Linked DNA regions of Danio rerio. The protein of the gene in region 1 purifies or fractionates together with the protein of each later gene. This does not show direct contact. Links are inferred from orthologs where the notes say so. Each region holds a gene or a part of one and is shown in the gene's direction. Other genes may lie near its edges.

What was found.
Region 2: the proteins of chd8 (region 1) and kpna5 purify together in Homo sapiens (affinity purification with mass spectrometry; 3 studies listed by BioGRID and IntAct, with this or other methods). This does not show direct contact. The link is inferred for Danio rerio from reciprocal best matches to the Homo sapiens genes CHD8 and KPNA5.
Region 3: the proteins of chd8 (region 1) and kpna1 purify together in Homo sapiens (affinity purification with mass spectrometry; 6 studies listed by BioGRID and IntAct, with this or other methods). This does not show direct contact. The link is inferred for Danio rerio from reciprocal best matches to the Homo sapiens genes CHD8 and KPNA1.

Annotation. Positions count from the first base shown.
Region 1 is NC_133177.1:41,131,457-41,135,112, reverse strand, and holds part of chd8 (chromodomain-helicase-DNA-binding protein 8), read left to right. Parts: intron 1-160; coding exon 161-298; intron 299-430; coding exon 431-552; intron 553-1,662; coding exon 1,663-1,906; intron 1,907-3,656. UniProt on the Homo sapiens protein: ATP-dependent chromatin-remodeling factor, it slides nucleosomes along DNA; nucleosome sliding requires ATP. Acts as a transcription repressor by remodeling chromatin structure and recruiting histone H1 to target genes.
Region 2 is NC_133191.1:35,382,239-35,386,498, reverse strand, and holds the start of kpna5 (importin subunit alpha-6), read left to right. Parts: upstream 1-1,454; 5' UTR 1,455-1,552; coding exon 1,553-1,556; exon of another isoform or gene 1,557-1,605; intron 1,606-4,260. UniProt on the Homo sapiens protein: Functions in nuclear protein import as an adapter protein for nuclear receptor KPNB1. Binds specifically and directly to substrates containing either a simple or bipartite NLS motif.
Region 3 is NC_133199.1:24,834,045-24,838,156, reverse strand, and holds the start of kpna1 (importin subunit alpha-5), read left to right. Parts: upstream 1-1,217; 5' UTR 1,218-1,389; coding exon 1,390-1,552; intron 1,553-4,007; coding exon 4,008-4,112. UniProt on the Homo sapiens protein: Functions in nuclear protein import as an adapter protein for nuclear receptor KPNB1. Binds specifically and directly to substrates containing either a simple or bipartite NLS motif.

The DNA of each region.
Region 1 (3,656 bases):
ATTTATTTCTTGTATTAAAATGTATTGTTCTACTGTACGTTGCCAGCAAAAGTGTGTGTGGATGTTTGTTTTGTGCTATAACGTTTTACATCACATTTTATTTCAACTGCACACAAGCAACAAAAGCACAGATTCTGAATTCTATTTTTCCTTTTTACAGCCAGTTGTGTACTACCTGGTGAAGTGGTGCTCTCTACCCTATGAAGATGCTACTTGGGAGCTGAAGGAGGATGTTGATGAAGGCAAAGTGGAAGAATTCAGGAAGATTGAAAGCCGCCAACCACGACTCAAGAGAACTGTGAGATACTGTTTTGTCTGGCTCTTTCTCTCTTCTCACTGGATCATTTTTATCCTGCCTGTATTTTTTGGTTTTCATTAAGAAACAAGACGAAACCGTATGAATTATTAACAAGTCTTGCTCTTCCATCAGCCTCGGCCTGCTGCAAGTGCCTGGAAAAAGCTAGATGAGTCCACCGAGTATAAGAATGGGAACCAGCTCAGAGAATACCAGCTTGAGGGAGTCAACTGGCTGCTCTTTAACTGGTACAACAGGTAAATATATAGCTTATTCAACTTTTATTTGTCCACCCTTTACAATTGAGGGCATCCACACCTTTTAACAGTTTCCTTTTGCATTAAAGGTCCTTTGAAGTTAAAATAATGTTTTTAGATAATAGTATGACTGTTAGTTTTAAGAATACCATACTTATATCATCATATCATTAATATCGTACGCCTCATACTTTAGTTTCTCTTCAAATCTTCCGACCAATCATTAGCTCTCGACTCCTCTTCAACATGCTTTTCATTTGATGCGATCGATCTCAACCACTGACACCGGCAGAGCTGTGCTTAAAACAAAATGCTGTTGGCTGTTTTTTATATAAACAGGAGGAACTACTATGTCCTGTCATAATTCATTTGAGATTACGTCAAGTTTAAATGCACAGTTCAGAGCACTTCACAGGACTCATAAGTTGTGATTTTACAGAAGGTTAAGCTTTTCAGCTTTGAGGCTTCGTTAAACTTCTGTAATCCTAGTTGACAAAATAAAAGCATTTTTACATTTTCAAGCGTTCTCTTCCAGGAGATTGAATCAAAAATATTGATGATTCATTTCCTCTGCTCAGGGGTGCATAAAATGCTCTCTAGAGTGAGATTGTTCCCTCCTTCTCAATTATAAATACCACCTGCCACTGATCCAGCATTACAACAGTGAGCAGACAGTTGCTTGGCGATACACACCATAAGTAAATAATTTGACAGCCTACTATTTGGACACAACAACGGCCTCCTGGTAATTCTAGTGGGCGTCCTTATCAAAACAGTCACCCTGGGTTCTTTGTTTGAATTATGGCCTTACTCAAATAACTGATGCTGGCACATTTTTCTTATTACCATCTGAATCTGGCTGGACTGCAGGAGTAGGTGAAGATGTTGATGAGAATTCGCTGCAATTTATTATGAAGTCACCTAAATGATTCTGTCCATGATTCAATTTAGGCCTGATGTTAAATAAATTTTGTGGAGTCAGTAGTGGTTAATAAAGGGCAGATAATGAAAGGATTTGCAAAACAGCAGGCTACAAGTGTATGAGAAGAATGATGTTTCTCTTTTTCAAATCTTACACGGTCTGTTTTGTATTCGTGACTTCCCACACAGGCAAAACTGCATCCTAGCGGATGAAATGGGTCTGGGGAAGACAATTCAGTCCATTGCCCTGCTGTCAGAGATGTTTTCTGCGGGGGTCCAGAGCCCGTTCATGATCATTGCCCCTCTGTCCACGATCACAAACTGGGAAAGAGAGTTTTCGAACTGGACTGATATGAATGCTATTGTTTATCACGGCAGTCTGGCTAGTAGACAGATGATCCAGCAGTATGAAATGTACTGCAAAGATGACAAGGTTGGTGTATGAATTTTTTCTTTATTCGATTCGTTTGATGGCTACAGCAAACAAAAATCTCTTGGAGAAAAGATCTTGGGAATGTTTTAAAGTATTTTTGAGGAATATTGAAAGGAATATTCAAACCTGTAGATTTTGACTTTGATTTTGAAAACAGGGACTTTAATTGCTACAAGGTTGCATTTTCTTTTTTGTTTGTTCCTCTTTTACATGGCAACATTTTAAAGCATGTAAAAAGAATTAATGGTAAATGTTTGTACATACATTTTGCTTTCCTCTACATTGTCTTTTAAGATGGAGATGTTTTATTGGGGTCAATAAAAAGGTTTTTACTGTTCATTCCTGTTTTACCTGTAAAAATATAATTTAAAATGTTATATACAATGGAAACCAGTGCCTCATTCATGCAATTCTCAAGTTTAGAGTAGTTAACAGTTTAATGGCCTGTTTCCACTAAGTAGTACGGTATGGGTTGGTATGCTTTTATGGCTGTTTCTTCCACTGTCAAAAGGTACCTGAAAGCAAATCGTACCGTACCACTTTTTGGGTATCCTTTCCAAAGGCTACCTAGCACAACAAAAGGGTACCAAAAGGCGGAACTGAATGTTATTGGTTCAAAGAGATGCGTCACTATCGCTTGTACAAACCAGGAGAACGAAAACAAAGGAAGCGCCATTTTTAAAATACACAGCCAAGGGATTACTTCGTGATAATATATACATATAATAACGAGCCATGGTCGACCCAAGCTCAAACAAACCTTGTCGTCGACTTGATGAACAGCCACAAAGCCAAAAAGATAAACCATGCGAGAGTGAAGCACGAAAAAGCAAGAAGTTTGAAAAAAGCATCAAATGATTCTTTCAGCAACCTAAAACATGAATAAACTGCCTTGTTTAACTATTATCATCACCTTTTGGACTATTATGAACTCAGAATTATGGAATTACTCTCTAACAGAGCCTACATGTGCTGGTAAAGATTATAGACACAGATGAGAGGTTTGCACTGACTGGGGGCAATGTTGCGTGTTGTTTTAAACCAAATAAGGACTAAATGTATGCTGTGTGTAGTTTTTTTGTAATTGATAATATATTGGAGACTGTAACTGTCTGTATGTGTTCATATATGCTGCATTTATTTATTTATTTTATGCAATTGTGGACGTTGCAGAAGTTGCTATTTTGCACATTGATCAATGATCTGCTGTTATAATCAAATCATGTTCATCGAACAATTGCTTCTCATATGATATGTGAATGACCCATACAGCTTTACTTTGACATTTCCTCAAGCAAGAATAACGTAGACTGAAACTTTGTCGTACACCACTCCCACCAGAGGGGTATCCGAACCGACCCACTTAGTGGAAACGTGCATTAGATGATGTCCTCTCTTTAAGTATCATACCCTGTTTCTTTTATTTAACATTTCTTTAAATTAATTATGAATTATGATACTTGTTAATTCATTGGCCTTATCCAAACTTTTGTTTTAGGGCACGTCCAGGTGTGATTGCTGTGTTCATATATTTCTTAACAAACCAAACTAAGGGGGGGAAAAGCCCAGCAGATTCTGAAAGTTGAAGTACAAAAGTGTCTAAAACTCAATAAAAATAAAATAAACCTGAATGGAAAAAAAAAATCAAAACACACAAAGAAAACTTTAAATGAAAACATAATATAAAAATCTAAAAGTTACAGAAGTAATGTGGTAATAAAACAAAGCTAACACTGCTGAGCACAAGTTA
Region 2 (4,260 bases), on another chromosome or scaffold:
GGGTTTCTGCAGGGTGCACGAAGTAAAATTTAATACTTTTAAAATAACTGTTTTAGACAATTATGAATGAAATTGCAGACTTATACAGGCCTAAACACTAAGGTTATTTTCTAATGGCCTTAGAAAATAACCTTATCCATGTCCCATGGAAAAAAATGTTTACTTGCCCCTTACAAAAAATCTAGTTAGTTATTTCTTTGCCACATTTATTCATTCATTCATTCGTTAGTCTCTATTTCAGAGGTCGCCACAGCAGAATGAACCACCAACTATTCATAAATTTTACGCACCGGATGTGCTTCTAGCCACAACACAGTACTGGGAAACACCCATACACACTCACATTCACAAACTATGAGCAATTGAATGTAGTACATTCAAATCACCTATAGCGCATATTTTAACCGGAGCACCCAGAGGAAACACACGCCAACATGGGGAGAACATGCAGACTACACACTGATATGCCGACTGGCCCAGCCGGGACACAAACCAGCAACATTTCTTAGCCACACATTTTTGGTTGTTTATATACTTTTTTTTCAACATAACTTTTTTCAATCAAACAAACAAAACTAAAACAAAAAACTATAATAATCTATATGTGTGCACAACATTCTGTCCAGATCAGTGTCCTCCTCATATGATCTATAAATGCACAGACAACTGAGAAAATGTTAGCGTAAGAAAGATAATTAAACCATATTGATAAGTAGAGTTAGAAATAAGAGTTTTGTTAAAAGTTTTTAGATGGATCGTTGGTGATTGGATGAGTGTTAGGTAACATGAAAATGAAGAGCTCTTTAAAATACTTTAAGACCTACTACAAGACAATGTTTTAATTAATTTAAGACATTTTAGGACTTTTTAAGACCCTGATAGAGAAAAAAACATCTAAATGACAAAATCATCCTTAAAGACTCAAACAGTTATTGGAGGAAATGTAATATTAGTTTATTCTAAGTTTTAACTAGTTATGTGATATAAATGCTGTCATAATATTTGATATATAGCAAATATTATGTTACATGACATTACTTGACATTTTATTTCGACAAATTTATGTAAGTGTAGCTTTTGTTTAGATTATGTATATACTATTACAAAACTCAGACGTGACGATTTGACCTCAGTTAAGCAGAAACCTGGGTTTTATCAAGATGCACCTGACGCGACGTTGTGTATTGACTGTCAACAAAGAAAACCAGTTAACTTAACTAACGTTAGTCGGTTACACAATAACATGTATCCCGCCAAAACCCTTCTTATAATCGCTTCATGTACAACAATAACAAAAAGTCCTACTAATGCATTTAAATCGCCAGTGGTATGCTACTTACCTATACAGAAGTAAATAAGCAAACACCAACAATCGGCCGTTTCACTTTTCATTTGTTATTGAATGAGGCCGCTCGAGAAAACCGGAAACAGCAGAGGAGATGACGTTCCTCTCCAGTCGACGCCATATTGCCCTCAGCTGGAGGAACTCGGGAGGGTCTTGTGAGAAATTTAAAAACACACGGCCAGTATTTCTCTCTCCAGTCTACAACAAATGGGTATGACTCGTATACTTTCTAATATGTAAATGACGTTTCTTTTTAGGGAGTGAATGTTAAAGCAGGGCGCTTATAGAGAGCAGAGGGACGTTTTGACGTTCAATCTAAGCTAGCACAACACGGTTAGCGTGTTAGCACAAGGAAGCTGATCGCAGATCAGGGTGAAAGTGAAGAGGCCTGCAGGATTAACGTTAGGCTGACTATAAATATGTAACGTATTAAAATGTACTAGTGGTTTTGACAGACTTTTTGATTCAAGTCGTCCAGCTGTCCCGTTAAAGCATGTGCTAATTGCGCTAACATTGCCGAAGGAACGTTTCATTTTAATCGGCTTGTATTAACGATTAAAGATGCTTTTAGTCATTTTAAAACAAGAACAGTTCATGTAGTGAATGTTAAGTTTAATGTCTATTAAATTACTTTACAGTCTTTCCTCACCAACACAATCAGCTGATCCGATTAAAACACGAGTGCTTTATTTATGTAAACCTATTTTTCAGAAGTTAGAGAAGATGTCGACAGCATGTTTTGAGTCTTGGAGTGAATGTCCCTTCAACAAATTACATTTCTGTTAAACGTCAAGTTGTTTCAGTTCATAACTGCGTGATATGTTGTCCTCCTCAGTGTAAGCAGGTGTTGGGGCTGACAGCCTGCATTCATTATTATTGCACTATTCCTATGCATCGATACATTGAGGTAAAGTTGGTTTTCTATTCGCTCATTCGTTCACTTTAACGGTTCCTTTATTGTTTACCACGCTACTTTGAATATTCGGTCTAAAATCGCTTGCAAGGATGACTTCAAAACAACTTAGCACTATTTAATTGACTGTGAACACGGTTAGTCATTGACTGCTTATATAATTTCACTGTTTGGAATTTGCAAGTAATACTTTTTTGAAATTATATTATTAAGTCTGAATGTGTTAATGTAAAACCAACTTTACCTCAATCATCAATACTTGTTGGTGAACCAGTCTGTCCTTTTGCAGAAAAGGCTGATTTGTTATTAATCTTATTGAGGGGATTAAACATTTACTTTGATGTGCCAATATTCGAAAGAGTACTGTGTGTGGACCAAAAAATGTATTATTGCACATATTTTTAGGCATATTTTTGGGCTTGGCAGGTTTGGTTCGATTAAAACTGAGTTGTAATTTCGTTATGCAGTTAATTTGAATGAGTGTAGATTCTGGTAAATCTGCCATCTGAATCGTGGCGTGTACTAAACAAACTGAAATGATTCTTGTGTGGTTCAACTTAAATATGAATGCAACATTGGCAAAAGAAATCAAAACAAAGCAAAAGCACAAATTTATGTCATTAGGTGTGACTTTAAATGGCATGTTGTCCATTACAATTCAGTGCAAGGATCAAAAACGCATGTCCTTGTAGATCTTCACTGTGTGTGTGTGTGTGTGTGTGTGTGTGTGTGTGTGTGTGTGTGTGTGTGTGTGTGTGTGTGTGTGTGTGTGTGTGTGTGTGTGTGAGACAGAGGAATCCCTGCAGCAATTCTAACACATTTTTTAAGTTCTAAACAATTTTTATTTTTTAAAGAAAGTTGTCACTTGTGACCAAGTATGGTAACATTTTTTTTAATAAAATTTCAGTTTAGGTTTATTAACTATACTCTAAAAATTATTCTGCATAAATTCTGAGATTTTATACAAAATTGGGCACATAAATAGGATCTGGCTTGAGTCTGGAGAAACCAGGATTAATAAACTACTAGTGCTATAACTAAACTACAGAAATATGTCAGTATGTAGTTATTAGTGCATTGATTAGAAGACCACGTAATATCTGTTTGAATGTTCCATCAACAGGCATTCTTCAGACTATAAGTAACTTTGCTAGTACGTCAGCACATTCTTGAAGGCCTAACTTGAAACCCTGTTCAAGCTGTGACCTGGTATTAGAATGCATTTTGTTTGGAGTGGACAATTCTGACACAGATTTAACTGGATGTTTTTACCTTAACCACATTTAGAGTTTTGGAAATCACCTTGAATTAAATTTCTCTTGTGGTGTAGATGATCATTTGGTTGTATGCATTCAAACAGCCACAAAAACCAACTATTCTCATGCTTAAATATTACACATTACATGATGTTGTTGAAGTGCGCTAGTCACGTCAGATTTAAACTATATATTATATTAAGTTTGTATCAAAGGCAAAAGCAAGTAATGATAAAAAAATATATATTTTATTAACCCATATTGATTGTAACACGAGCCAAGAGTGTTTTGTGTATCATCTCTCTGTTCTATATATCATTTCCTGTTTCATGTTGTTGATATATAAATAATGTGTGGTTATTTTGCAATATGTGATCTAGGTATGCTCAGATCAGGGTTTTTACAGCTGATAATGAGTACCGATTCCTTGTTTATTGTGTTGATACAGGAGTACTGATTCTGATGCTTCAAGCTTCATAATGCATTAAGCACATTTTCCCTCTAAGTTGATTTAAGTGGAGTTTTCTCCTTACCTAAGAGAATAAATTAAAGATGCTTCAAATAATCCCTTAACACATCTCTTATGACCATTTAATGTGGACATATCATGGTCAGGAGCAGCTTTACAGAAAATAATAGATGAAACTGATAAAAAAAATTGTTAGAAATTATTAATAATGCAATTTAGAAACACTGCAAATGATGGAAGAATTCAACTCTTCTCAATCAAGAAAAAGTTTGGAATG
Region 3 (4,112 bases), on another chromosome or scaffold:
AAGATTAAATGTTGCCAGATTTTGATGGAAAAACATGCCTACAAAAACACTTATACAAAAATACAAAAACAACATTCAAAGTGACTCAATAAAAACAAAAAGAGAGTAATAAACCAACATTGTTAAATAATTTTACAAAAGGAGTGATTATGTAAGAATAAAGGAAAAGTGATATGATGATAATACATGAACAAAAGGATTTACTGTATTTATAAATTACTGTTCACATATATTTCTTTATACAAATAATAAAAATACATATGTGTATATGATGGAGGCGCAGTGGGTAGCGATGTCACCTCACAGCAAGAAGGTTCGAGGTCAGTTGGCATTTCTGTGTTGGCATATTGCTGCGTAAGTTGGCAGTTTATTCTGCTGTGGTGACCCTGATTAAGAAAGAGACTAAGCTGAAAAGAAAACGAATGAATGTGTATATGATAACAATTCATTCAGCCATGGCACATTGGCTGAGGCTAGCATGGTTGCCTCACCACAAGAAGGTTGCTTGTTTGAGTTGCTATTTCTGTGTGGCTATTTCTGTGTTTGCTCGAGTTTTCCCCAGGTGCTCCGGTTTCCCCCACAGTCCAAAGATGTAGGTGAAGTTATAGGCAAACTGAATCAACTAAATTGGCTAAATGTGTGTGAATGGGAGAGTCTGTGGTTGTTTCCCAGCATTGAGTGTTGTACTTTCAGTGCTAAGTTGCAGCTGGAAAGGCATACAGCCATCCACTGTGTAAAACAACTGAGTAAACAAATAAGTAAGATGAGATGTAGATATTCAATTTAAATTATATATGATTGGCCTATACAAAATAAATAGATAAAAATGACGTTCATATGAATAAATAAATGTACTTAATAATAATAATAAAATATTATTATTATTTTCATTCATTTATCCATTCATTTTCTTTCTGGCTTAAAAAAAAACATACTCACACTCATTCACACACACACACACTCATACACTGCGGACAACTTAACCTACCAAATTCACCTGTACCGCATGTCTTTGGACTGTGGAGGAAACTGGAGCACCTAGAGGAAACCCACGCAAACGCAGGGAGAACATGCAAACTCCACACAGAAACACCAACTGACCAAGCTGAGGCTTGAACCAGCGACCCAGCAACCTTCTTGCTGTGAGGCGAAAGCAATTATTATTATTATTAATAATCATAAAAATAATAATAATAATAGATTTATCAGGAGTCACCACAGCGAAATGAACTGCCAATTATTTTGGCATATGCTTTATGATTTGTATGAATGCTACAAAATGAGTTATGTGATATAAAAGGTATCTACATAGATAATTTATTATAAGCTATGTATTTGTTTTTAAATATATGTATATAAGCTTATAATGTTTACTTATAAAGCGCGGAGATGGCAACACTGTTCGTTACACAGAACTGGCAACACCGAGAAGCAGACATGCGCTTCGCACACGATGTCCTCTCACAATGCGCATGTGCAGTGTCACTATACCGGCGGAGGCTGAACGGTTGCAGCTTAAACGACGCAGGGATAAACGAGGCCGTTTTGACAGGTCAGTACGCCAGTGTGGATAACTTGTGTCTGTCTGGTTTTATTCCGTCTACATGATGTCAAATTCAAAAGATTATAATGTTAAAACACAGATAAAAGGCGTTAGTCGGACAACCTTGTTGGCTGGGTTAGCAGATAAGCTAACAGAGGCTGCTGCGCAGATCTGGGAGGGGGAGGCGAGTCCGCTGTTAAGACGATATTACTAACAAACCTGCTCTTCAGTCGATGATCACTAGCTCGTGTGGAGCAAAAATGACATTTTGTTAACTTGAATCGATCGTTTCCGCTTCTGTGATGCGATGATCGGTGAGATTGGTGCGTTTGGCGGCTGTTTTTAGGTGTGGATGGTTTGATGGGTCGATCCTCTTCACTGCGGGCTCTAGCACCACTGCCCAAAACACACTGACAGATCCATGCAGCCTCTGTTTTATATTGTTTTTAGTAGTTTGAGACTAAATGTCACAGGTACACTGGCTAGAGATAAATAAATAATAAATGTTATCGTCCGTGGTGGTTGTTTAGCTCAAGCTTTGCGTTTAATCCTTATCTTTTATGAAATATTTTTATCAAAAATAGTGTCAAAGCATTTAGAAATTTGCCTGACATGTTGAAAACCGTCTGATAAACAAACAAAATAAAATCATAGACTAAATTTATAAATAGAAAAAATATATATAGTTTAGAAAAAAAAAGTCTTAACAAACATTTTTACCATGATTTAAAGAAGACACCAAACTGTTTACATGCCAGAAATCATGTCAGACACATTTAAAGCAGTAGTCTTTTGACGATGTATTAGAAGACTGTATGTAAGGATAACAGTGCAGTCCTAAAATAGAAAACATTGCCACAACTACTACTAATAAATAAGAAACATAAATAGTTTGAAGATATTGGGCCAAAGCACCACTGTTGAACAGGGTAGAAATAGCTAAACCAGTGAATAATAATTAATACATATCACCATACTTCCTCAATATTGTTAATTGTTTTATGATCCATTAGGTGTCTGAAATGTTCAGGTTTCATATTAAAGCAAGGTCCTGTCGAACTCAAAATGGGCTGATGTACTTAAATTTAAACATACAATTTTGAGCACTGGTTAATTTTTGTTTCATATTATTGGCATATGCAAAAGGGATTTTGAATGTCTTATTTTATCACTCTGTTGATAAAGTATGTTTGTCAGATTTCACCATATTAGCATAAAATTTAGAAATAAAAGGTTTTGTGGGCATCTTTCAATGACATAATAAAACCCAATTTAAGGATTACAGTGAAGCAAAAAATAATAATTCATTTACATTTCAAACTTTTTTCTTTCTTTTTTACAGATTTATCAGCAAGACAATTGTAATAATTTAAAATAGAATAATGTTAGTATTAGGGCTGCACAATATATCGTTTCGATCAATATTGCAATGTGATCATTCGCAATAGTCATATCGCAGGATATGCAATGTTGTTGTAGTTTGTATTAAAATGTATCATTTGCACATGTTTTGTTTATGCCTGTGATTGTATAATGTCTTCAAAAGCATTCAGCTATAAGAAATTGCACAATTTGTGACCTTAACTACGATTATTTTTATTGAAGTTTGTTGATTGTATTAATAGATTGTTATGAATAAAAATACTCACAAGTGCATATACAGAAATGCACTGCAAATAGCACAGACCACAACAAAAATGTGTCTGGGTAGGTACCCTAAAAATGTAAAGATTGTTTATTTGATTTTATAGGGATGCAAATAGTAAAAATTAATTCATCATTAATACTCACAACACAGCACATGCAAATACAGAAATTGTTTATACAGAAACTGTTTATATGCTCTCCCACTACAGAATCATCCCAATCGATCTAACATTATAAATTCTTGACAAAAATAAAGATATTAAGTCATCTGGGAAAATTTCATTTATATGGCAAAATCAAAAAAATATTGCATTGTTAGATTTTTCCAATATTGTGCATATATATATATATATATATATATATATATATATATATATATATATATATATATATATATATATATATATTTAATTGTGAATAATATAAAAGTAATGTGAAGAAAAAGCTAAAAACTTGAAATGAAATTAAAAGAAAATTCAATGTATTTATTTTCTAAATGCATCTTATGTTCCTAATTGTGAATAGTTAATCTCTGGATAGGTTTCTCTTAAAATGTTTACTTTTCTCAATGTTATTTAACAAGGTATATTAAAATGTCATAACAGGACCTTTCAGTAAGGTTGCTGTCAGATTAGTTTTGTCACTAATGCAGGATGTAAAAATTTGTGTGTATGTGTGTCTCCACTGCCTATGGAAACAAGTGACATTAAATGATCTTTTCAAGAGGTCTGTGATCTAGCAGAGATCAAGCAAGTATTTTAATAAGTCTTGATGATTTTTCTATTGTGCTCATCTTGCTTTGATCGTCTCTTTACAGCAGACAACATCATGAGTCAAGGGAAGGACAATGCACGTCTCAAAAGCTATAAAAACAAATCGCTCAACACAGATGAGATGAGGAGGAGGAGGGAGGAAGAAGGCC